5 linked regions of the Rattus norvegicus genome follow. The protein of the gene in region 3 purifies or fractionates together with the protein of the main gene of each other region. This does not show direct contact. Links are inferred from orthologs where the notes say so. Each region holds a gene or a part of one and is shown on either strand. Other genes may lie near its edges. The genes, in order: Lsm8, Tut1, Sart3, Lsm2 and Ppih.

The links.
Region 1: the proteins of Sart3 (region 3) and Lsm8 purify together in Homo sapiens (affinity purification with mass spectrometry; 4 studies listed by BioGRID and IntAct, counting the BioPlex papers as one, with this or other methods). This does not show direct contact. The link is inferred for Rattus norvegicus from reciprocal best matches to the Homo sapiens genes SART3 and LSM8.
Region 2: the proteins of Sart3 (region 3) and Tut1 purify together in Homo sapiens (co-immunoprecipitation; 4 studies listed by BioGRID and IntAct, counting the BioPlex papers as one, with this or other methods). This does not show direct contact. The link is inferred for Rattus norvegicus from reciprocal best matches to the Homo sapiens genes SART3 and TUT1.
Region 4: the proteins of Sart3 (region 3) and Lsm2 purify together in Homo sapiens (affinity purification with mass spectrometry; 3 studies listed by BioGRID and IntAct, counting the BioPlex papers as one, with this or other methods). This does not show direct contact. The link is inferred for Rattus norvegicus from reciprocal best matches to the Homo sapiens genes SART3 and LSM2.
Region 5: the proteins of Sart3 (region 3) and Ppih purify together in Homo sapiens (affinity purification with mass spectrometry; 3 studies listed by BioGRID and IntAct, with this or other methods). This does not show direct contact. The link is inferred for Rattus norvegicus from reciprocal best matches to the Homo sapiens genes SART3 and PPIH.

The regions. Positions count from the first base shown.
Region 1 is NC_086022.1:48,270,687-48,274,956, forward strand, and holds the start of Lsm8 (LSM8 homolog, U6 small nuclear RNA associated), read left to right. Parts: upstream 1-1,441; 5' UTR 1,442-1,584; coding exon 1,585-1,615; intron 1,616-2,531; coding exon 2,532-2,572; intron 2,573-4,270. UniProt on the Homo sapiens protein: Plays a role in pre-mRNA splicing as component of the U4/U6-U5 tri-snRNP complex that is involved in spliceosome assembly, and as component of the precatalytic spliceosome (spliceosome B complex).
Region 2 is NC_086019.1:215,276,324-215,280,868, forward strand, and holds the start of Tut1 (speckle targeted PIP5K1A-regulated poly(A) polymerase), read left to right. Parts: upstream 1-1,562; 5' UTR 1,563-1,574; coding exon 1,575-1,656; intron 1,657-1,662; exon of another isoform or gene 1,663-2,138; intron 2,139-2,158; exon of another isoform or gene 2,159-2,761; intron 2,762-2,811; coding exon 2,812-3,002; intron 3,003-4,545. UniProt on the Homo sapiens protein: Poly(A) polymerase that creates the 3'-poly(A) tail of specific pre-mRNAs. Localizes to nuclear speckles together with PIP5K1A and mediates polyadenylation of a select set of mRNAs, such as HMOX1.
Region 3 is NC_086030.1:48,518,517-48,522,855, forward strand, and holds the start of Sart3 (squamous cell carcinoma antigen recognized by T-cells 3), read left to right. Parts: upstream 1-1,336; 5' UTR 1,337-1,350; coding exon 1,351-1,659; intron 1,660-3,145; exon of another isoform or gene 3,146-3,401; intron 3,402-4,339. Other genes in the region: iron-sulfur cluster assembly enzyme ISCU, read right to left, coding at 26-139. UniProt on the Homo sapiens protein: U6 snRNP-binding protein that functions as a recycling factor of the splicing machinery. Promotes the initial reassembly of U4 and U6 snRNPs following their ejection from the spliceosome during its maturation.
Region 4 is NC_086038.1:3,848,803-3,853,444, reverse strand, and holds the start of Lsm2 (U6 snRNA-associated Sm-like protein LSm2), read left to right. Parts: upstream 1-1,779; coding exon 1,780-1,782; intron 1,783-1,951; coding exon of another isoform or gene 1,952-2,062; intron 2,063-2,312; coding exon 2,313-2,380; intron 2,381-4,583; coding exon 4,584-4,614; intron 4,615-4,642. UniProt on the Homo sapiens protein: Plays a role in pre-mRNA splicing as component of the U4/U6-U5 tri-snRNP complex that is involved in spliceosome assembly, and as component of the precatalytic spliceosome (spliceosome B complex).
Region 5 is NC_086023.1:138,206,733-138,211,191, reverse strand, and holds the start of Ppih (peptidyl-prolyl cis-trans isomerase H), read left to right. Parts: upstream 1-1,611; 5' UTR 1,612-1,635; coding exon 1,636-1,701; intron 1,702-1,879; coding exon 1,880-1,944; intron 1,945-2,263; coding exon 2,264-2,287; intron 2,288-2,546; coding exon 2,547-2,591; intron 2,592-3,619; coding exon 3,620-3,662; intron 3,663-4,033; coding exon 4,034-4,126; intron 4,127-4,459. UniProt on the Homo sapiens protein: PPIase that catalyzes the cis-trans isomerization of proline imidic peptide bonds in oligopeptides and may therefore assist protein folding. Participates in pre-mRNA splicing.

The sequences.
Region 1 (4,270 bases), on a different chromosome or scaffold from region 3:
AGATTAGCTTTAGTTCCGGTCCATTTCCCTGAAGTGTATTTACTTTTTCCTCAAGCTCTAATTTAAATCTTATCTTCAAAACAAAGCTTCCCAATACTTTTACACATGCCATCTCATCCTTTCTTAAAGCACTTAAAATGTGTGCCATTCCTTTAGTCCCATTAGAAAATATAACAATACACACAATGTTAGAATAAGCTTCGGGGTGACAAAACTTTTTTTTTTATGATGCAGTCTATTTTCTTGAATTATAATAGGTATAATTTGTATGGCAAGCTTTAAAGGAATTCTTTTAGCTCCCCAACAGTTTGATGATGTAATTACTGTCACTGTCTCTAACTAAAAGCAAAGCACAGCTAGTTCAATCACTCCAAAGCCATAATTCTTCAGCTAAGAAAGATTTTAAAACCCACAACAAAAAGAAATATTGCTTTTTTCCATAATTAGTTGTGCAGATTCCTAACAACCAGTTTTGAAGTGAAAGCACCATTAAATAAATAAATAAAACATTATTGGAGCAGACAGGGTAGGGGGAGGTTGGAGGTATAACTTATTGGTACAGGACTTTGGAAGACTTGCATAGTGTGAGTTGCACACACACACACACACACACACACACACACACACACACACACACACACACGAGGCATGAGGGAGAATGTCAGTCCTATTTTTACCAAGACATGTGAAAAATAATAGTTCTGTAGTAGGAACTAAGTAAACTCAAGTCCAGAGTTGAAGTGACATAAAATAGTGACAGCAATGAGGGACAGAATCAGAATCAAACCCGGTGCTTAGTTTACACTTTTCTCCAATTAGTCCCTTCACAGTGGGGCTGTAGCCTTTATTTATTGAACTTCACCCTGAGGAAAGCTAAGTCCCGAGACTTCGATGAAATCCATTTCTTAAGGCAGGCTCCTGCACCTTCAGCTATTTGGCTTTCGTTTTTTAAAAAAGCTCGTTTAAGGACACGAAGAGCCAAATTCAGAATACACAAATATTTTCATACAGTTGTTTTCTCCGAAAATGTACATCGTGGAGCTACAAAATGCTCCCTTTGTACTGGGCTATTTGGCTTTTTAAACTTTTTTGGCTCATGCTGGAGAAATCTAGAGCTCCTTGCACCCTGCATCTACATTGCCTATGAGAACAAAGAATCTCTCTCCTACTCTAGCCAATGGAAACATCTTCATCTCGTGTGTCTTCCGGCAGAAAGAGTCTTTCCGCACTACCTTTAGTAACTACCACAGTGCCTTCCCGTCCGGTAGAACCCTCCAGTGTCTCCTTCCAGTCCGCCTTCGGTGACAACTCTACACTTCCGCCTGTCCCCGCCTTTGTCTCCCCTTCCGATCGCCACCCGGAAGCCCAGCGGAAACACGCTGCGCATGCCCACTAGTCAGCACCGCCCCGTTTCCTGTTTGTCCGACTCCTTTCTCTTACTGATTCGTCACCGCTGAGGCCTCAGAGTCTCGCGATATTTGCGTTCGCCAGCGGGCGCGAATCTGTACGTGTTTCTAGCGGGCGGTGTTTTGTCTCCTTGTTGCTGATTCCTCTCAGATTCCCGGAACCTCCGGGCCCAGCAGCATGACGTCTGCCTTGGAGAACTACATCAACCGTATCCTCGGGCGGGCCGCTGCGACGGCTCAGGCCGCGGCGGGGGCGGGAGGGAACACGGGGGCCCGGAGTGGTGGGCAGTGAGCAGTGGGTGGAGGACCGGGGGTCGGGATTCGTGGAGGGAGCTCCCGGATGGACCCGTGGCTTTTTCCACCCACAGCACAGATCTCGGTGTAGTTAGAGTTTTCCTGCACGTAGCCTGTTGATTGTATATGTTCCAACATTGGGACTAAGGTGAACTGTTGTCCTAAGGACTCCCAGTTCGTAGATCCTAACAGTCTTGTTTGTTCGGGGATAGCATGAACAGGAAGATGCTCCTCAGATGTGCATTTCGGGTCCCATGCCTCCGCTTGAAATGTCTATGCGGTAGAATAAAAATAAATCGTATTGTGATGGTGTTTGGAGAGTGACGAATGGCTTTTAAAAAGCCCAGAGATTTTAAGATAGAATTGCTGTTCTGAAGTCAGGGCAAAAACATTGCACCTAGCATATGCTCAAAGAGGAAACCCTAGTTAAATACAGAGAGGTTTTAATGATGCAAGGATTATTGGTACTTGATGGCATTAATTGGATGAGAAGGGCCTTACCATGCATAAAGAGATCCAACATTGATTAGCTCCCATCTAAATTTTATTCTAAAGGTTAAGAAGTGAGTCTAACCTGCTCAGTGTCATAGGTTGGAAACATTGCTGTTTAAACCAGAGGCAAACAGTCACATTCTATACCCTCTATCGTTTAATTAACTGTTTTCAAGGTACAGTTGAAACAAGTTTAAAAACTTACGTTTTATTCCTCCGAGCAGTGACTCTGTTGAATCTTAATTCTTTCTCTTTTTTAAGTAGTTGGAACCATTCCCTTTCTAGGCTAAAAGTTTTCAGTTTGTATTTAGGAAATACTTTCCTTGACTCAGTTCTCAGGAACTGTTGCAGTAATAACTTCTGATGGCAGAATGATCGTGGTGAGTGACATTTTCGTTTTCCTCTTTCCTGAGGCTTATTGCTTGTACATTTGAGGTAACATTTCTGGCCCAATGTTCAGACACCACAGCGTACCAATATTCCGGTGTTCTTATGATTCAGCTATTTAACTTCATCTCTTGGCTGCCTGTCCAACTTCTCTGGCCAACCCTGAAGACCTGAGCTGAAAGGTAGAGCTGTGTGATAAACTGATTTGTTTTCTTCTTGCATCCTTCTATTCCGTTTCGTTTGTTTTAACTTAGAGACCTTAAACAGTTTACATGTGTGTGCCCTAATTGGTTCTTTATCGATGAGGAAATGTGCTTTCAGTGATTTCATCATTTTTCCGAATATAGTAAGTGGTTTTGGAAACTTAAATTTATGACTTCACTGGTGGCACAATCTTCGGTACCATTGGCCGACCTACCATTTCTGATTGAAATATTTCTTGCATGACTGTAAATTAATCCCATGTTATTCCATTCTGGTTTTTTTTTCTTAAAGATTTAATTTTGTTTTTGCTCATGTGTGTGTGTGTGTTTATGAGCGTCTGCCATATGTGTGAGGATACACTACACAAGGAGACCACAAGACCTAGAGTGAGCCACAGTGTGTGGGTGCTAGGAAGAACTTGGACTTTTAACCACCGAGCCATCTCTCCAGCTCCTTAATTTTCTTCTTCATCCTTTTGACTCTTCTCTTCCATGAGCAATACCAGTCAAAATGACATAGACTAAATGCATATCATGTGTTAAGGATTTTGTATATCAATTAGTTTGCATTACAGCCTTGTGAAGAATTGCCACTTTTGTTATTAGGAATCTAGCTTAGACAAAATAAGTCACTTTCCCAGAGAGTCAGTATGACAAGTGACAGAACTGTATAGTGTCATAAATTGTGTTTAATTCCAAAACCAAGGTTACTTCCTTTGCTTGTTCTTAATAAAGGAAACAAATATGTAGGATTTTTTGTTTGTAGTTTGTTATGAGGGGGTGGTGGTGGTCAGATCATAGTCTATATATTTGTAAACTATGGGCACTTAGGAAGTCTATTAATGTTAAAAGCTAATTTGAAAATAGTTGATTTTTAAAGCCTTTAGTTTTAATTTCTTGTTTCTGTTACAAAATGTTTATAGAAGAAAAGCTGAACAAAAGCATTGACATTGATTAGTTCCTATCTTTATCACAAAGTTGTCTGATAAAATAGTTTTGTGTAAAATGAAGGTGAGAGGATTTGGGGGGGGGTTTATGATAACCACCATTTACTAACTGCTATAGTAAATAGTCTAACGTGTTTTTCTTTCCAGTTTCTAGACTCCAGGTTTCTATTTATTTTATTCTGATTCTATATAATTATAGCTTTTGTAACATGAGAATTTAATGGTAGACCCAAGAGATTAACCAGCTAAATTGAAAATAAGCTATTTCTTCAGAAACTTGAAGAGCATCTATGATACTTTCTTTTTCTAAATCCATACAGTTTTTCCTGCTTGTTTTCTTCAACTTAAGTTTCTGATTATTTCAGTTCTAATATATCTACTATAGTATTGATAGAATTCAGTTAGACATATACACAGGACACAGTGTTGGCAGTAAGGAGATGAAATATTAACTATAAGTGTTAACTAGTTTGTCATAACATTGTTTACAACAAAGTAGAGGACTTACTTTGTAATCAGCCTCTGAGCTATGTACTATCCA
Region 2 (4,545 bases), on a different chromosome or scaffold from region 3:
AGGTAGTCTGTGCCAGCTAGCCTTCTTGTGGGACTAAAGCTTCTCCCATTGGGGCTGGAGTGCAAGCAGTATCTTGATCTGGATTCATTCAAAGCTCTCTAATGGCTCTGAGTCTCCACAGAAAGGTGTGAGAATGTCTTCCTGTTACCCACTTCTCCCTTTTGATGCTGGGGAGTTGATCCCAGGGTCTGGTGTGTGCTAGGCAAGGGCTCTACTATTGAGCCACCTACTCCCTCAGCCTTGCCTTTTCTTTCATTTTGGCATTCTAGGAAATGCTAGCAACCAGGGTAAGATGTACCCCACTAGGTGCTGGTGGTGTCGGCACACACCTTTAATTTCAGCAATGGGGAGGCAGACAAAGGCAGATCCCTGAGTTCTGAGGCTCGTCCAGTCTACAAAGGGAGAGACTCTTGAAAGCAAACAAAACAGATGCATTCTACCTTAGTGGTTTAGGTGTGGTACTGCAAGACTGCAATTCAAGCTCAGTGGTGTATGTATGTATATAGACTGCTGCCTCAGGGTTAGCACGACCAACCTTAGTAACTGCCCCTGCCATTAAGTGTACAGTAGTCTCTACGTTTTTTGGTTTGGTCTGCTCTTTTGGTTTGACACAAGGATCAGATGCTTGAGCAGGGTCCAATAAGGAGGGACACAAGGCCTCATTGGTGATTCAACCAAGGTCGCAGACTGGTTTTCTGCCTAAGGTCTACTGTGCGACTGATAATCGCAGCACAAGGTGCTGAGCTCACCTGACAGCCCTTCCATTTCATTACGATCCCTGTGTGTTCAGCTTTCGTACTTTCTTCTGCTTTTGAACCTACAAGACTCATTCCGATTGGAGATCTGCTACACTTCCCGCTCCACCTCCTTGAATGTGTTTCTCTCTTGTCACTGTATTCTGTTCTTCATTGTACTGCCTTGAAATGGGCCTCGTTAATATACTTCATTCAAACTACATCTGTGCAAGAAACTGGCAGACTGAGGTCGTAGCCATCTGTGGTTGTCCTCATTGAATCCAGCTGATGGGGGTGGGAGGGACAGGGACAGACAGCGCGGAGAACATTTGTCTTGCAGAAGGATCCGGCTTCAGAGAAAGCAACTGACCTGAGGATGTGAGAGTCCCTGAGCTCCACAAGGCAAAGGGTTGGAAACACCCACCCTCTGCTTCTATTAGCAGGGTAAAATAAGAGATTGAGGGGGCAGTTGTGTGAAAAGAAGGTACAGATCGCCCGCCAACACTTGGCAAAGGAGGACCTCTGCTGTCAAGAAGCAAGCGCGCCTTTGTGGTTGCTTAATGAATATTCACGATTCTTCGGGCCAATCAACGCTGGAGTGAAACGAAGCACTAATTGTAGGCCAATAAGCAAAGTCGAGGGGCGGCTTTTCCTGGAAGAGTTTTAGAGCAGGAACTCTCAACCCTAAGAACGAGGTTTCTGGAGGAATAGGGTAGCGTAGGACATAACGTCACTTCCTACTGCATTGACGGAAGTTACTTCCCAGCACGTTACAATTTTTACTTGTGTGTTCCGGTGCTTGCGGAATAGGTTGTAGGCGGTCCCTACCGGAGAGTGGCTATGGCGGCGGTGGATTCGGATGTTGTATCGCTGCCGCGTGGCCGCTTTCGCTGCTGCCTCTGCGATGTTACTACAGCCAACCGTAAGCGGTGGCTAGTGAGGGGGGCGGGTGCTAGTGAAAGTTAGGGTTATTTAGGTTTGTTTGTTATTGTTTTTTTGCTGGCGTTAGGGTCAAACACCTATTTTCACTCAGCATATCCCAGGGTACCGGAGAGTGGGGGAAATATGACCTGTCGTTCCCACTATGGAGAATCTCCAAAATGAAAGTTTCATTATTCCCTTTAAAATCATCTACTGGTCATCCCTTTTCTGTTTCTGGTACTTTGCTGGTCTCCGGAGTAGGAAGGGGATTTAGGAACTCATTGCCTGGCCTGAGGTAGTTTCAGTACACCAGGTTATGTTTACAGAACTGAGGTATCACAGAAAGCAGTAATTAAATCGGAGACTCCCTAGTGGAAGATTTCTCCAGAAGTGAGATGAGTGAAACAGCATGGCCTGAATGAGTGCCGGAGATGCCAGTGAGGAACGAGGTTTGGAAGGTGGACTAGATCATTCTGTGACATTGTAAGCAGCTCAGTGACACATCAGATCCTACTTTTTATGTCTGTAATTGTGATCTCCCCTAAACAGGACCTTCTGGTGTTTTCTTTGTGAATCACTCTCCTCATCACCCCAAACAACTCTGCTCATTAGAGCAAGCCAGCAACTTAGGAGCCTTCTTTGTTCACATTACATACTTCCATGGCATCAAGGAGCTGACTGATAAAATAATACTAATAGCTAATTTTCTACACTTAGCAGAAGGCTGTATGTGAATGATGCCTATGTGTTAGGTATTACCATTTCTAACATATATCTGAGAAAAACCATACATTTGGAATACCTACTTTTTATTCCTGAGAATTATTCAGGACCCTAATTTATTTAGTTCTTCTATATTTGGCCTTGGACAAGGTACTTGTTATTTCTACAATGTACAGATGTCGCTCAACTTAATGCTTATCGATAGCTTAAGAACTACCTGCACTCTAGCCCTTTCTCACTGAGACCACTTTCAGAACGCAGTGTAGAAAAAGGGAAAGAATATCAAGTGTGGAAGGCGTTACAACTCTGTTCCAGTATCACCCTTTGTCAGTCTTTGAAGGAACAGAAGATTTCCATATGTAGGGAGCAGAGCAAGAGAACAGGTACAGGAAGAGATACTTTATATGTTTATATCTGACAATTGTCTCTGCAGGACCCAGCCTAGATGCCCACTTGAAAGGCCGGAAGCACCGGGATCTGGTACAACTACGAGCTACCAGAAAGGCCCAGGGACTTCGAAGTGTGTTTGTCAGTGGCTTTCCCAGGGATGTAGGCTCTGCTCAGCTCTCTGAATACTTCCAGACATTTGGCCCTGTGGCCAATATTGTTATGGACAAGGACAAGGTAGAGTGAATGGCTCTGGGATTAATGTGTCAGACAGGTTTGCTTCATATGCAGAGAGAAACCAGCAGTCCGTTTTGGCTTGTCCTTGGTAGACATTTCAGAACATTGAGTAGCTTCAGTTTTGTGAGCTTCTGACATCTCCACTCTTTGGATGTTCATTCACGAGTATTAATTATGGGGAGCTTGTTTACCAAACATGTATGTATGTATGTATGTATGTATGTATGTATGTATGTATCAGGGCACTTACCATGCAACTATGGGTTTTGCCATGTAACTGGCTGGCTGGGAACTTGCTATCTAGACCAGGCTGGCCTTGAATTCAGAGATTCACCTGCTCTGCCTCCTTGGTCCTGGAATTAAAGGCATTTGCCCTCTCAGTGGTATCAGTTTCTTCATCTGAATGTCTTTATGCTGACACTACAGTCCTTATTTGCAGAGTGCCTCTTTATAGAAACAGATGACATAAATGAACTTGTATTTTACCCACAATCAGCCATATTTGCCTTGCTCCTGCTCATATATATAATATATACACACACCTATACACACACACACACACACACACACACACACACATATATATTATATAATATTATATAATCCTAGGTAGTAAGTTTCTTGAAGACAGGGCTTATTATTAGAGTATGTGTGTTTTATATTAGCAATAGCAGGTAGGTTTTTCTTTCTTTTTTTTTTTTTTTTTTCTTTTCTTTTCTTTTCTATTTTTTGGAGCTGGGGACCGAACCCAGGGCCTTACGCTTGCTAGGCAAATGCTCTACCACTGAGCTAAGTCCCCAACCCTTTCTTTTTTTTTTTAATTATGTTTTGGTGCTAAGGCTTAAAAAAATTCCAAGGTTTTATGCACACAACTCTATCAGTGAGCTGCATTTTGAGCCTAACATGTATTCTTTTAAAATATGTGTGCACATGCATGGTCAATGGTGTAAATATGGGGGTCCGAGAACAACGTTTGGGATTCTGTTGTCATATTAGTGTTCAGGGGATTGAAATCAGGGTCAGGTTTGGAGGAAAGCACTTTACCCTGACATGAATTATTATTTTAATATTTGTGTGGGGGTGTCAGTATGTGGCCATGTGTATGTGTATGCCAGAAGAGGACGTTGGACTGTATGGAGCGGGAGTTACAGGTGGTTGCAAACTACTGTTTGATATGAGTGTTGGGAACTGAATTCCAGTCCCTCGAAAGAGCACCAACTATTTTTTTGTTTGTTTGTTTTGTTTTTAAAGATTTATTTATTATATATAAGTACACTGTAGCTGTCTTCAGACACACCAGAAGAGGGCATCAGATCCCATTACAGATGATTGAGAGCCACCATGTAGATGCTGGGATTTGAATTCAGGACCTCGGGAAGAGCAGTCAGTGCTCTTAACCACTGAGCCATCGCTCCAGCCCCACACCAAGTGTTCTTAATCAGTGAGTGATTTCTCTAGAATTCCACATAGGAACTCTCCCTGCCATGGATTCTTTTTTTTTTTTTTTTTTTTTTTTTCCTTTTTTCGGAGCTGGGGACCGAAC
Region 3 (4,339 bases):
CGCGTACCCCCTCGCCCGCCCATACCTTCTTGTGGTAGAGCCTGGCAGGAGCCGACAACTCCCGGGCGGGCAGGCGCGGGCTCCGGAGCAGCAGCGCGGACGCCGCCCGCCTCAGACGGCCCGCTCCAGCCGCCGCCATCTTGCCGGCTTGCACCTGCGTCGACCTCTGCGACGCCGAAGGGAGGGCGCGCTTGTATGACGTCACCGCTGCTTGGCGCTTGCGCTCTCCGCTCCAAGCGCGTGCACGCGTTTCGGCCGGTCTCTTTGGTCACGCCTCCGGAAGGGGCGTGGACGCGGCGCAGAGCGGGAAGGTCTGAAGCTGCGGTCACGTTTGTCTGGTGCTGCGATGGGCGTGGGGCCGCCCAGAAGTGGGAAGCCGGGCCTGACTTGCCCGAGGATGCTCAGACTCAGGCTTATTTGGGATTCGAGCTTGCATGAGTCTCTGTTCAGGTTCAGGCTTTTTTTTTTCTAATTCAAAGGCAGCCGTTTCATCTACGGAGCAAATAACATGTCAAGTGTACACTAGGTGTCACTAAAAAAAAAAAATTCCTGGGAGTCCCGAGGAAAGCAATTCCTGTCTCGTTAACCTTGCTGATGAAGGAGAAAGGCAGTGCAGAGGAAAACAGCAGTGTTCTTTTTTTTTTTTTCTACCTCAACAACGAGGAGTATAAAAGAAACAAACACCATACCTCCTCGACATGTACATGTTTGTTTTACAATCCACTGCATCCCGAGACGATACTTACTGTAATGTGTTAGCATTGGCTATATAGTCACAAAATCGATGCGTCTAACACCTGTTAGATACTAGGTGCTAGAAAGGGGAGGGAGCTTTATACTGAGAGATAGGCTTTTCTCGTGAATGGTGCATTGTATCGCGGAGGAACTGGAATTTTGTCCGCACCTGAGGGCCGGTTGCTGCGAAACAACAACGCACTGGAGCGGGCTGAGCCTTGCAGAAATCCTTTAGTCCAAAAAAAAAAAAAAAAAAAAAAAAAAAAAAAAATGACTTTGACCTTCCTAAGATGGCGTCTGGACCTTAACTATGGCCATCACGCACACACAACTGCCGGTATGGCTGCCACTTCCGGTCCCAAGACCCAAAAGCTGTCCAAGGTCGTAGCCCGACGCAGGTTATGCTAGTGAGCCTTTCTTCCTGACAGTGGCGTCCAGAGACGCCTAAGGATAATATCAGTGGTGGAGTCTTCACGGCTTCCTCCGCCCTGAGGCCCTTCGTGCCACTTCCGCTGGCGCCGAGCGGAGTTTTGGTCAGGCAGACGCCACGGACAGCCTAATGTTCGCCGGGCTTCGGCGGGCGAGGGAGGACCCGAGAATCGCGGGCTGCGCAAGATGGCGACGGCGACTGCATCCTCGGCGTCCGAGCCGGAGGTTGAGCCCCAGGCCCGGCCTGAGGCTGAGGGAGAGGAGGATGAGGCGAAGCCGGCGGGTGTGGGCAGGAAGGTGCTGTCCAGCGCGGAGACAGCCAAAGCCAAGGGCCCTGAGCGGGAGGTGCACCAGGAAGGTGTGAGCGAGAGCGATGGGGATGAGGAGGACGCCGCCATGGCTTCCTCCGCCGAGAGCTCCGCCGGGGAGGACGAGTGGGAGTACGACGAGGAGGAGGAGAAGAACCAGTTGGAGATCGAGCGGCTGGAGGAGCAGGTGGGCCGGGGTGGGCGGCGGGTTCTCTTCCCTCGGGTCCCCAGGCCCGGCCCGCCCCCTCGGTCCTCCGTGGTTATGGAGACCGCTGAGGTCTCCAGGGCGCTGTCAGCCACCGTGGGTCCCCGGTTCCCGAGCTCAGTGGGTGCCCAGAACTTCCGTAAAGTATTCCATTGGATCCTCTTCATGGTTGGGGAAGTAGTGTTAATCCGGTTTCACTGGGAAACTGAGGCTCCTGCCCAAGGTGACACTCAGCTGAAAGTGTTTATCTTTTCAGGCTGAACCCAATCAGGGCTCTTATCCTTTTTGTATTTTTAAACTTGTGTTTGTATGCATGCCCGGACGCGGTTGTCTCATAACCATGTGGGTTCCGGGGATTGAACTCTGGTCATCAGGTGTGGCGGCAAACGACTTTACCTGCTGATCCATCTCTCCAGCCCGGGACTGCCACTCTTAACCAGATAAGGTTTAGCCGTCTGACAGTCGGAGGAGAACTTATTTTCCTTTAGGGATAGTAATAATGGTCAAATGTGGTGTAGAACGGAAAATAGACCGCGACTGTAGTAGAAGCGCAGAGGTTGAGGCTTTTGATCTGAAGCCCGTTTTTTTTTTTTTTTTTTTGTTTTGTTTTGTTTGTTTTTTTGTTTTTTGTTTTGGTGGGGGCGGGGTTTGAGGCAGGATTTCAGTATGTAGCTTTGGCTGACTTGGAAGTCGTTATGTAGACCGGGTTGGCCTGGAGCTCACAGAGGTCTGCCTCCCTCTGTCGTCCCTGCTAGGCAGGAGCCACTAACTCCCTCTTATCTTATGTGTATGAGTGTTTTGCCTGCATGAGTGTGTGAGCTGAGACCAGAAGAAAGCATCAGGTCTCCAGGACCTGTAATTACCAGACTGTTGTCAGCCGCTCTGGGGTTGCTGGGACTCAAACCTGGGTTTTCTGGAAGAGCAACCAGTGGTCCTCATCGCTGAGCCAGAATCCTTCTGGGATTGTGTAATAGCTCTTCTACTCATGTGTCCTCAAGTTTTTTTTTTGTTGTTGTTGTTGTTGTTGTTTTTTGTTTTTTGTTTTCTTAACAGCTTCTGATGTAAATTAGGAGCAACAGCTCCTGTAAAATGGGATTATCATAATTATGATAACCCATGACACCTGCCTAGTGAAGTTGCCGTAGTTGCCCGGTCCCTAGCAGTAAAATGGTCCCTGATCTGTCATTGGCGATAGCTCCTTTACAATCCAGTGTGCTAGCAGGGGTAGGTGATAAAGTCAAGTTAGAGTAATTTGAGCAAAGATGCATGAATAGTCACTGTTTATAAATGTGGGCAGGGGAACCAGGGATGCAAGTTTTGTTCCCGTAGCCAGTCACAGCAGGACTCGGTGTCTATCTTAGGTCTGAAGGGGTGAAGGGAGCCTTATGTTACTTGGAAAGCCTTAAATTCATGGAGGTAGCACCTGAGACCTGATACTGTCTCCCCCCACCCCCCATGCTTCTGCTAGTGCCTCCTGTTGGGCAAACCCAGCTGTAAACCATTGTGCCAGAAGACCAAAATCTAGTGCACCCCAGTTGTTCATGGGACAAGGAGAAGATATGGAGGAGTGGGACCAAAAAGATGAAGCCTGTTCTCGTGAGGAAACGAGGCTCAGCAAATGGTAGGATCTGACTCGGCTGAATTCACACAAGTGGGCCTTGATCTCTTATGGTCATCTGTGGTCCAGATACCCCCCTGGAGGTGCGGTCCCTCAGTGATTTGTGGTGAGTAACACAGGCCAATCGGCTAACCTCTAACCAATAATTGCATTGGCCTGCATTTATAGCACTGATTCTTTTCCAGTTACAGAATGTTGCTCTAGCTTGCCCCACTTGTCCCTTTGTCTAATTATTAGAGGCCTTTTGGAGCAGGTGGTTATCATTCCTACTTTTTAGTACTAAGTGTTCTGAATCCTTTTGTTTTGAGAGGCGCTATTGTCTTTTAGAATGCAGGCTTCTGTTTGGTGCTCACACAGGTGCGCCTGTGCCATGTCAGAGGACAGTTTATAGGAGTCAGTCCTCTCCGTCCTCATCGCGGTCCCCAGGATCCAAGTTACAGTGTAGGGCTTGTTTGCAGTTGCTGAGCCATCTCTTCAGCTCCAAGAGGACTTTGTAGCTCAGGCTAACCTGGCGCTCACTCTCTAGCCTAGGCTGGCTCAATCTTCTGCCTTAGCCTCAGCCTCTCACATGCAGAGTTAGGAGCCTTTAGCTACCATGCCCAGGGGTTCACTGCATTGACTCAGCAGAAACTGGGGGATAGACTGGCTCTCCCTGCCCTTAAAGAGGAAATGTGTTCAGGCTGTGCAGTGGTGCACACTTCTCGCATTGGCAGTATACGTCATGTGCACTTTCACATTGGCCCATCCGTAAGTGTGGCCCATTTGGGTGCATAATGCATGTTAAGTGAAGGCTTCTGCACTATTGGCCAGCCGTACCCTCTCTGCTGTGCCTTTCTTGTGTGTGTGGCATCCTTTGTGCTCTGTCTTGACCAGGTAGCTTTGCCTGAGTCTCCTCTTTAAGCCTTTTATGTCATTAATGATGGCCTGAGCCTAGGATAGAACAGAGTGTACACTCGCTCATCACTTGAACTGTTTGGAAGGGTTTCTGTGTGTACGTGTGCATACGTAGGCCAGAGTCCATCCTTTCCTGAACACCCCCCCCCC
Region 4 (4,642 bases), on a different chromosome or scaffold from region 3:
CATGTTCCTTGAGAATGAGGAAAGGAGAGCTCACAGAGAACATGCATTTTCTTTTTTTAAAGATTTATTTATTATATATGAGTACACTGTAGCTGTCTTCACACACACCAGAAGAGTGCATCGGATCACATTACAGATGGTTGTGAGCCACCGTGTGGTTGCCGGGAATTGAACTCAAGACCTCTGGAAGAGCAGTCAGCTCTCTTAAACGCTGAGCCACCTCTCCAGCCCATGGACGTGCATTTTCTGTTTGTGAGTCCATTGTGAGTGTTTAACTTGATAAGGGCAAAGTACTTGAATTTGTGTAAGTTGAGCATATCCAACAATTTTTTTTTTGGTTTTGAGGCAGGTCTGCCTCAAATGTCTTTCGTTCATGCTGCCTACATGACTGGAATTACAGAACGTTACACCTGCCAGGAAAAATATTTTCTAATTCTCAGGCACCCTGAGCCCATAGGAAGCAGCTGCTAAATGTACTGACTGCTTCTAACCAGTGACAGCCTCTTTTAGATTCAGGTGTTAAAGTTTCTGTTGAAACTCGGTAACATCTTGCTTGGTAATCATGATGGATCCAGCTCTGAACACAGTGATGTGCACAGGTGGAGTGGGGTAGGTAGGACAGAGAGGGAAGACACATCTTAGGGTCTTGCTGGCAAGTCAGTCTAGCTGAATGAACCTGTCCATTCCAGGATCAGTGGCAGATCCTGTCTCAGAAAATGAGATGGCTAAGTCGTTAAGGACATATGTTGCTCTTCGGCAGGACCAGGGTTTGATTCCCAGCACCCGTATGGTGGCTAACAACTATAACTCCAGAGGATCCAACACACTCTTTTAGTGTCTGGGAACACTGCACATGTGGTACACAGATATACGTGCAAGGAAAAACTCACACATATAAAATTTTAAAATATTAAGTAAGTGGAAAGAACAGCCAGCATTCATCTCTGGCCTACACAGGCAGGCATGCTCCAAGCTTCACCCAGACCCCCAGGAAACCGACTTTTTTGGTATCATGCAATCAGCAGGCCTAGTCTCTCAGAATTCTCACCTGTGTACCATGACTGCCTTGCACCAACAGCCAGCCTCGAGAAGACAAAATAGCAAGTGTTTTCCTATTTATCCAGACATGATATCTACAGAAGCTATAACCTAGCAACTTCCCATTTAATTACTAGTAAAAATAATACGGCTGGAGAGATGGCTCAGCGGTTAAGAGCACTGACTGCTCTTCCAGAGGTCCTGTGTTCAAATCCCAGAAACCACACGGTGGCTCACAACCATCTGTAATGGGATCTGATGCCCTCTCCTGGTGTGTCAGAAGACAGCTACAATGTACTTATATATAATAACTCAATCTTTTTTAAAAGAATATGCAAGTCATAATTTTCTCAATCTTCCCAATAATTCTCAGTAGAAAGCGTAGAGTATGAGCAAGTCACCCGGCACAGAGAAGAATCTAAAAAATTATCAGGGAGGCGAACTACATCCAACGCGCAGCTGCTATGGCCCACGCACGCGCTCGGGAGGGAGGAGTTCCTTGGGAGGAAGTGGGAGACAGGAAGTCCCGCCCTCCTCCCGGTTTGGCGGTCCTCTCTGCTCTGCCCTACTCCGCTCCCTTTGAGCCCAGATTCAGCCGCGGTTTTCGCGGTTCCCCTTGCGCCTGCGTGATCCTGTCCTGCCTCACGCGCGGGCTCGTGCTCCGGCTCCCGCCCTGCCTCCGGCCCGCAGTCCCCGGCGCCTTCCTTCGCGGTCCAGGCCGCCCCTCGTGGCGCCAGCACCATGGTGGGTACCGTGACGTCAAAAGGGAGCGCCGCCGCCCGCGGCGGGCGGTTCGAACTGTTCGGGTCTTGGTTGCGCTCTAGTGTTTGTTGCCTTGGGCTGTAGCTAAGCCCTAGGGTTTTCCTTACAACCTCAGGGCCCACACCCTGTGTGAGGAGACTGCTTGGAACCAATGGTTTTTTTGGGGAAACTTCCAGCAAGTCCAAGAGAAAGCCCACGGGCGCCGGGGGAGAACGGAAAGCTAGTCTTGCATTTCCGTGCTGGAGATCAGGATTTTGTGAGGGTGCGGTTGGGAAGCGGTCTCGAGCAGGGAGGTGGTCGATTCGGAGAGTGGGTTCTGGCATCGAGGGGTGCAGCGCAGTTATTGTCTCTCTGTGGCCCCAGGAATTGCAGTCTCTGTTAACGGATTGTTGATGGTGGTGAAATTTTGAGAACTACTAGGTGGGGCCAAAAGGACTGGTATTTCAAATGCCGTCACGGGTTCCTCCTCCCTGTCCCTTTTCATGTGATAGTTCCTCCCTCTTTTCCAATAGCTCTTCTACTCCTTTTTCAAGTCCCTTGTGGGCAAGGATGTAGTCGTGGAACTCAAGAATGATCTGAGGTAGGTCTTTATTTCAGCGAGTTGGTGGAAGGTGGGAGGTGCCTGGTGTCCTGATCGTTTTCGTGGTTGTTGTTCACAAAGCTATTTTAGAGCAGAGGGGCAAAACACAGAAGAAATATCTTGTGTCTTGAGTGTAAAGATTAGTTTAAGAGTGAGCCTGGTGCTGTGGCACATGCGTGTAATCCCAACGCTGATGCAGAATTGTGAATTCAAGGACAGTTTGGTCTACATATGTCCAGGGCCAGCCAGAGTTACACAGTGAGATACAGTTAAGTAACATGTATGTGCAGTCCTGGATGTCCCGGAACACACAGATCCGCCTGCCTCTGTCTCCTGAGTGCTAGGATTTGCCCTGCTGTATCATTTGCTCTTAACCATTCAGGAGTGGATTAAATGCTGTATCACTGGAAAGATGTTTATGGCTTCTTGTCACATCATCCATTAGAGTCTACTTTCTTTTTTTGTTTGTTTGTTTGTTTATTATACATAAGTACATTGTAGCTGACTTCAGAAACACCAAAAGAGGGCATCAGATCTCATTATAGTTGGTTGTGAGCCACCATGTGGTTGCTGGGATTGAACTCTGGACCTCTGGAAGAGCAGTCAGTGCTCTTAACCATTGAGCCATCTCTCCAGCCCCTAGAGTCTACTTACTTTCTTTCTTTCTTTCTTTCTTTCTTTCTTTCTTTCTTTCTTTCTTTTTTCTTTTCTTTTGTTCGGGGCTGGGTACTGAACCCAGGGCCTTGCGCTTGCTAGGCAAGCGCTCTACCACTGAGCTAAATCCCTAATTCTAGAGTCTACTTTCTTAATAGTGCTTAGAAAATTATAGGTGTCACTGATGTCTATTTTTTTTTTCATGTACTGGATGGGCATGCTCAACAGGTGAACTTCATTTCCAGCCCTCGTGTTTCTTTTTAAAATCCTTTTATTTGTAGACTCTTGAAACCTTTGAGCACAGGTCAGTGCTTGAGAGCCTTGATTCTAAGACAGAACGTGGTGTTGACAAGCAGGATGGTTATGGCCAGTGTGGGCAAGTGAGAGGCTGGCCCAGGCCGGGGTGGAGAGTAGCTAAGACTTTTTCTAGTCTAAAAGTCAGACCACACAAGTGTTCTTCCACAGAGCAGTGGGGGTTCGTAGAATGTAGAGAGTGAAGAAGTAAAATGCAGGATCTGGGGTTGTTAATTAAAATTTTAATTCCTCTGCACCTCCGTGCAGTGGGTAAATATAAGATGGGTAACATGGTGTGGGAGCAGTGGCTTTGATAACTGTACTCAGGACTAGAGGGTGGGGGAGTGTAGCATTAATAATAGTTAATTTCAGCTGCCATGTATATGTAGGTCTCTGGCTCCAAAGCATAAATGTTTACAAGTAACAGCTATTGGAGCTGCAGAGATGGCTTGGTGCTTTAAAAAGAGCTTGCTGCTCTTCCAGAGAAATAGAGTTCAGTTCCCGGCAGCTACATTAGGTGATTGACAACAGTTTGTTGGGCTGAATACAACTCCTTAGAACTCTGGCTTCAATGGATCTGATGCCCTCTTCTGGTCTCTGTGGGTAACTACATGCACATACACACAAATAGTAAAAATCAGTATTTAAAAATAATGGATGTTTCTGGGAGTCGTGCAGATCAGGGCTGACATTCCAGTTCATTTGTGTAAGTTTTGGTACCTTACATGACCTCTCATAAGTCCTGGATGATACTACTTTGAAAGGTGATTAGCTGAGTGGTTGATGGCTGTTCATCCCTTAAACCTTTAAACCTAGCCCTCAGGAGGCAGGGGCAAGGGCAGGGGCAGGGGGGAGTTTGAAGCCTGCCTTATCTACAGAGCTAGTTCTAGAACCCCACAGGGAAACCCAGTGGGCAATGGCCATGAGTAGTGCTCCTAGCTGTAGTTCTAGAACTTCAGAAGTGGAGGTAGGAATGCCAGAAGTTGGAGGCCAGCCTGGGCCAAGTGAGAACCTGTCTTAAAGTGGAAATACTAATATTAAATGGAGCATAGGCCCGGCCTGACTACGAGCTTCTGATGTGTTGGTGTGAGGACAGACTGAGTCTGAGGTGCTTTATCATTTCCACCTCAGAACTTACAGGGGCTGCCTGCTGGCTTCAGGGCCTAGAGTTCCTCCCCCCTTGTCACTGTAGTTCTGATTTTCCCTCTGCTGATTCCAGCATAAATGAATGCTTCTCTCCTCTTTGCTCCCACAGCATCTGTGGAACCCTGCACTCTGTGGACCAGGTGAGATACAGTAAAGGGGAAGGAAAGG
Region 5 (4,459 bases), on a different chromosome or scaffold from region 3:
CAGATTGGTCTTGATGAGCTGTAGAAAGGAGACCACCTTTTCTCTAGGGGTTGGAAGTCAGAACAGAACACCAAGGTGGATAGATTGGGCAGTCGAGTGGACTGGAAGGAAGTTCTCAAAGATGTAATAGAAAATTCAAATCAAAATTCATGTATTAGTGGGGTGTGATGGAGCAAGCCTGTAATTACAGTTATTTGGGAGGTGGAGGCAGGACAATCAGGAGTTCAAGGTTATCTGCTGGCCTATCAAGTTTGAGGGTAAACTGACCCTGATATAACATGAAATGCTATCTCAAAAGTTCCCAAACACCGAGAGCTATTCTCCCAGAGGACCCAGTGTCAATTCCCTACATCCATCTGTCTCAACTGTCTGTCATTCAAGTTCTGTCAATCTAGGGGATCTGACACCCTCTTATAGCCTCCAGGGGCACCAGACGGACAAACATAACACCACTACACATAAAAAAAATTTTTTAAGTCCCCAAATAAACACATACTTGAATAAGGACAATAAGAGATTAACTGGAAAGTGAAATTACTAGCACAAAGGTTTTAAAACCTGAAACTTTCTATATCAAATGAGCTAAAAGCTTGTGACAGAAATGAGTCTAGAAACCTATCCCATGGGCAAATACCAATCCCTGACACTATTAATGATACTACTCTATTATGCTTGCAGGCAGGAGCTTAGCATGGCTGTTCTCTGAGAGACACTCTACCCAGCAGCTGACTCAGAAGGATGCAGAGAACCATGGCCAAACATTGGATGGAGCTTGGGGACTCTTAAGGAAGAGTTGGGGGAAGTGTTGAGGGCCTCTGAGGGGATAGGAACTCCACAGGAAAACTAACGGTCAACTAACATTGATCTTTTGGGGCTCTCAGAGACGGAACCACCAGCCAAAGAACATACACAGGATGGACCTAGACACACACGCACACGCACACAGTGCAGATGTGCAGCTCAGTCTTCATGTGAGTCCAGAATAACTGGAGTAGAGGCTATCCCAAAAGATGCCTGGCTGTTTCTTCTAGCTGGGCTGCCTTGTCTGGACTCAGTGGGAGAGAGTGGGCCTAACCTACAGAGACTTGATGGGGGTGGGGGATAACCAGAGGAGATCTCTACCCTCTCAGAAGAAAAGGTAAAGAGGGAATGGGGGAGAAATTGTAGGAGGGGGTAACCAGGAGAGGGGGCAGCGATCTCGGGGTGTAAAGTGAATCGATTAAAAAATAAAAACATTTTACAATCATAAAAAAGAATGAAATTACATTTCCAGCATCGCGACTTCGTCAACCCTACATAACATACCATTTTAAAATATGGAATGTGACCCAGAGGGTCCTCCTCTCATGGGCTGTAACAGAGGACACCAAGTGTGACTGCTCGGGAAAAGCTGTCTGCAAAAGATTCATTTGTATTACGCTAATACAGTCAAGAGAGTGGAGAAGCCCATAGACTTTGATAAAGACGCCTGCGCTCCTTCCCGCAGCTCGGACCAACTCAGCTAAAATTCCCTCAGTACCTGCCACACTTCCGGGGCGGGGCGCAACCGCGGACTGTTTCCACTGCGTCTGCGTTTCCGATGAAGTTCGCGGGACCTGTCACCGGAAGTTAGGCTTCTACTTCCGAGTCAAAGCCATGGCGGTGGCAAATTCAAGTCCCGTCAATCCAGTGGTCTTCTTTGATGTCAGTATTGGCGGCCAGGTGAGATGCGGGCGGCCCAGCGGGCCTGTGCGGGCTGACTGGACTCGGGTAAAGGAGGCAGCCGAGGGGGCCCTTCTAGCCCTCCCGAGATAGGCTGGGTCAGGCGGTGGAGGTGGGAGCTTCCGAGCTGCATGGACAGCGGTCGTGGGCTGAGTATTGCATCTCCCGTTTCTTGCAGGAAGTTGGTCGCATGAAGATCGAGCTCTTTGCAGACGTGGTGCCTAAGACGGCAGAGAACTTTAGGTAAAGATATGTATGCTCCAAGTGAACCAGAGCTGAGCCCTCGGTTCAGTCTTTGCCTTGTCTGCCTCTGTTCATTTATTCATTGCCTTAGAGTAGTGCTCTGGGTATTGCACTGGCCAAATAGCTACCGACTTTGACCGATCCCATATCAACTTAAATCACTAGTCTACGTGCCCTGACATCTGCCCGATCAGTTAGTTAGTGGGCATGCTGGCCCCAGTGTTTGAACTCTCCTCTCCAGAGATTAGAGGTGCTCCAAGCAGTGATGGTACGGCGGCTGAATCGTTCACTGTTTCTTTCTTGATTTCTTTCTTTTTAGGCAGTTCTGCACTGGAGAATTCAGGTCAGTCTCAGATGTGTTTGACTTCTCCACCAACTCCTGAAGGGTGACCTGGACGTTTGGTGAGGGTATTGGAGAACCATGAACAGGTCTCTAGTAATGAAAGATGATATGCAGAGAGAAGATGACTCCTTGGATGTGTTCTTTATCTCTTCTCCCATCCAGATCTTAGTGAGAGTCCTCTTAGCCTCTCGTGCATCCTAAATGGGGAAGACCCACGTTTATTTTTCATCATTCCTAGTGTCTTCCTTTGTGTTTACAGAAAAGACGGCGTTCCGATAGGATACAAAGGAAGCACCTTCCACAGGTAAGGAAGGCTTTTGGCAAACTGGAAATGCAGTCATCTCTTGGTATCTGTACAGGCAGTCCTGTACACCTGAATCCAAAACCTGTGGAGGATTAAGTCTGTTGTTTAAATGGCATGTTCAGGGCTGAGGCTGTAGCTTGGTAGAGAATTTGCCCAGCATTCATAAGACCCTGGATTCGGTACTCAGCACCATGTAGTCTGTGCACAGTGCCTTAAGTCATGCCTGACTTTATGTCATATTGATTGTAGAAACAGTGCCAGGGAAAGCACTCTGTACCTACTCAGTACCTGTTCAGTACAGGAGCATGTCCACATGTTCCTAGAGATCTAAACTCAGATCCTTAGGCTGCACAGCAAGCACTTTACCCGCTGAACCCTCCCTGGTTCTGGGTTATGACTTAGCAGAGACTTTGCGGTAACCACTGTTACCAGGCAGTCGTCTGTAGGAACCTGACCTTCACGATCTCCTGGCTTTCTATGTTTACTTATGAGTTTGACAGAAGTTGCTCCATTTTAATCCTGAAAATGTCCATTGTCTCCCATATCAAGGGTTTTAGAGCTGCAGTCTGTAATCCTCCCCTGGCATTCTTGTGAGGTGTTATGATGTGTTTTCTGAATTCTGCAAGGTAGGGAAAAGAGGCTAAGCAAAGCTAAGGACCTGGGTACACTAGCTGACATCATCCTCGAGTTTCAGTGTGTGCAGCAGTCCATTCACGTTGTGTTCTCTTTCCCCAAAGTGAGGTGGTTTTTTGATGATGTTGTTTTGTTTTCCTTTGGTGACTGTAGGTGTGTCTCTGCCAGGTTTTCAGTTCCTTTCTGTTGTTGAGGTGCTGACTCATACACCTGAGGGCAACTTAAAAGGGGCCCCTGAGTTAAAACTGTTAATCCCTCAGCTGGCTCACCCCAGGGACAAAGACTTTCTCTAAGCCTCAGTGATAAACACTGAACTCCAGAAGACATGCTAATCTACCACTTCAGTGGCTGAACCACTGAATCTTCCCTCAGGATTTTTTTTAACTCTCTTTCAGGGTCATAAAGGATTTCATGATTCAGGGTGGAGATTTTGTTAATGTAAGTACTGCTTTTTTTCTTTGTTAATTTTTTTCCAGCAAGGCCCAGTCTTGAGATTTAAGAATAATAGCTAAGGGACGGAGAGATGGTCTAGCAGTTAAGAGTACTGACTGCTCTTCCACAGGTCCGGAGTTCAAATCTCAGCAACCACATGGTGGCTCACAACCCTCTGTAATGGGATCTGACGCCCTCTGTCAGTCACTATCTTGTTGCCTCATGACAAGGTTGCACTAGATGAAAAGCTGCTTGGTTCAGCTAGGACAGCTGGCTGGCTGGCTCCCCTTACCTGTGGACCATTCTCCCCGGCCTTATCATCTGGTTTCCAGGGTGCCCAACACTCCAGGCCACTGATGTGTCTCTTCTCTACTCAGGGCGATGGTACTGGAGTCGCCAGTATTTACCGGGGTCCATTTGCAGATGAAAATTTTAAACTTAGACACTCGGCTCCAGGCCTGCTTTCCATGGTAAGTGAGGTTCAGTTAAGATTTGGGGTTAGATTAGATTACTGACTGGTTTCTGGTGCCTTGACACCCAGTTCTGTCCCTTGGAATTAGGCCTCACCTGCACCTAGCCCCTCCTCCTTCCTCAGTGTGGTTTGATCTTGTTGGGTGGGCTTTCACAGCTGTAGAAAGCAGACTAAGCTCTGACTTGTGTTGTGCCTTTATATGTACCAAGACTGGGCTTTTGCCTCAGTGTTCAATGGGCTTCCACGGTTGGTGCTCACCTGTTGTTGCCCTGGTTGCCGTGAGTCACTCGCCGGCATAGCTGCATCCTGACTACACACCTGCTTTCCCCTC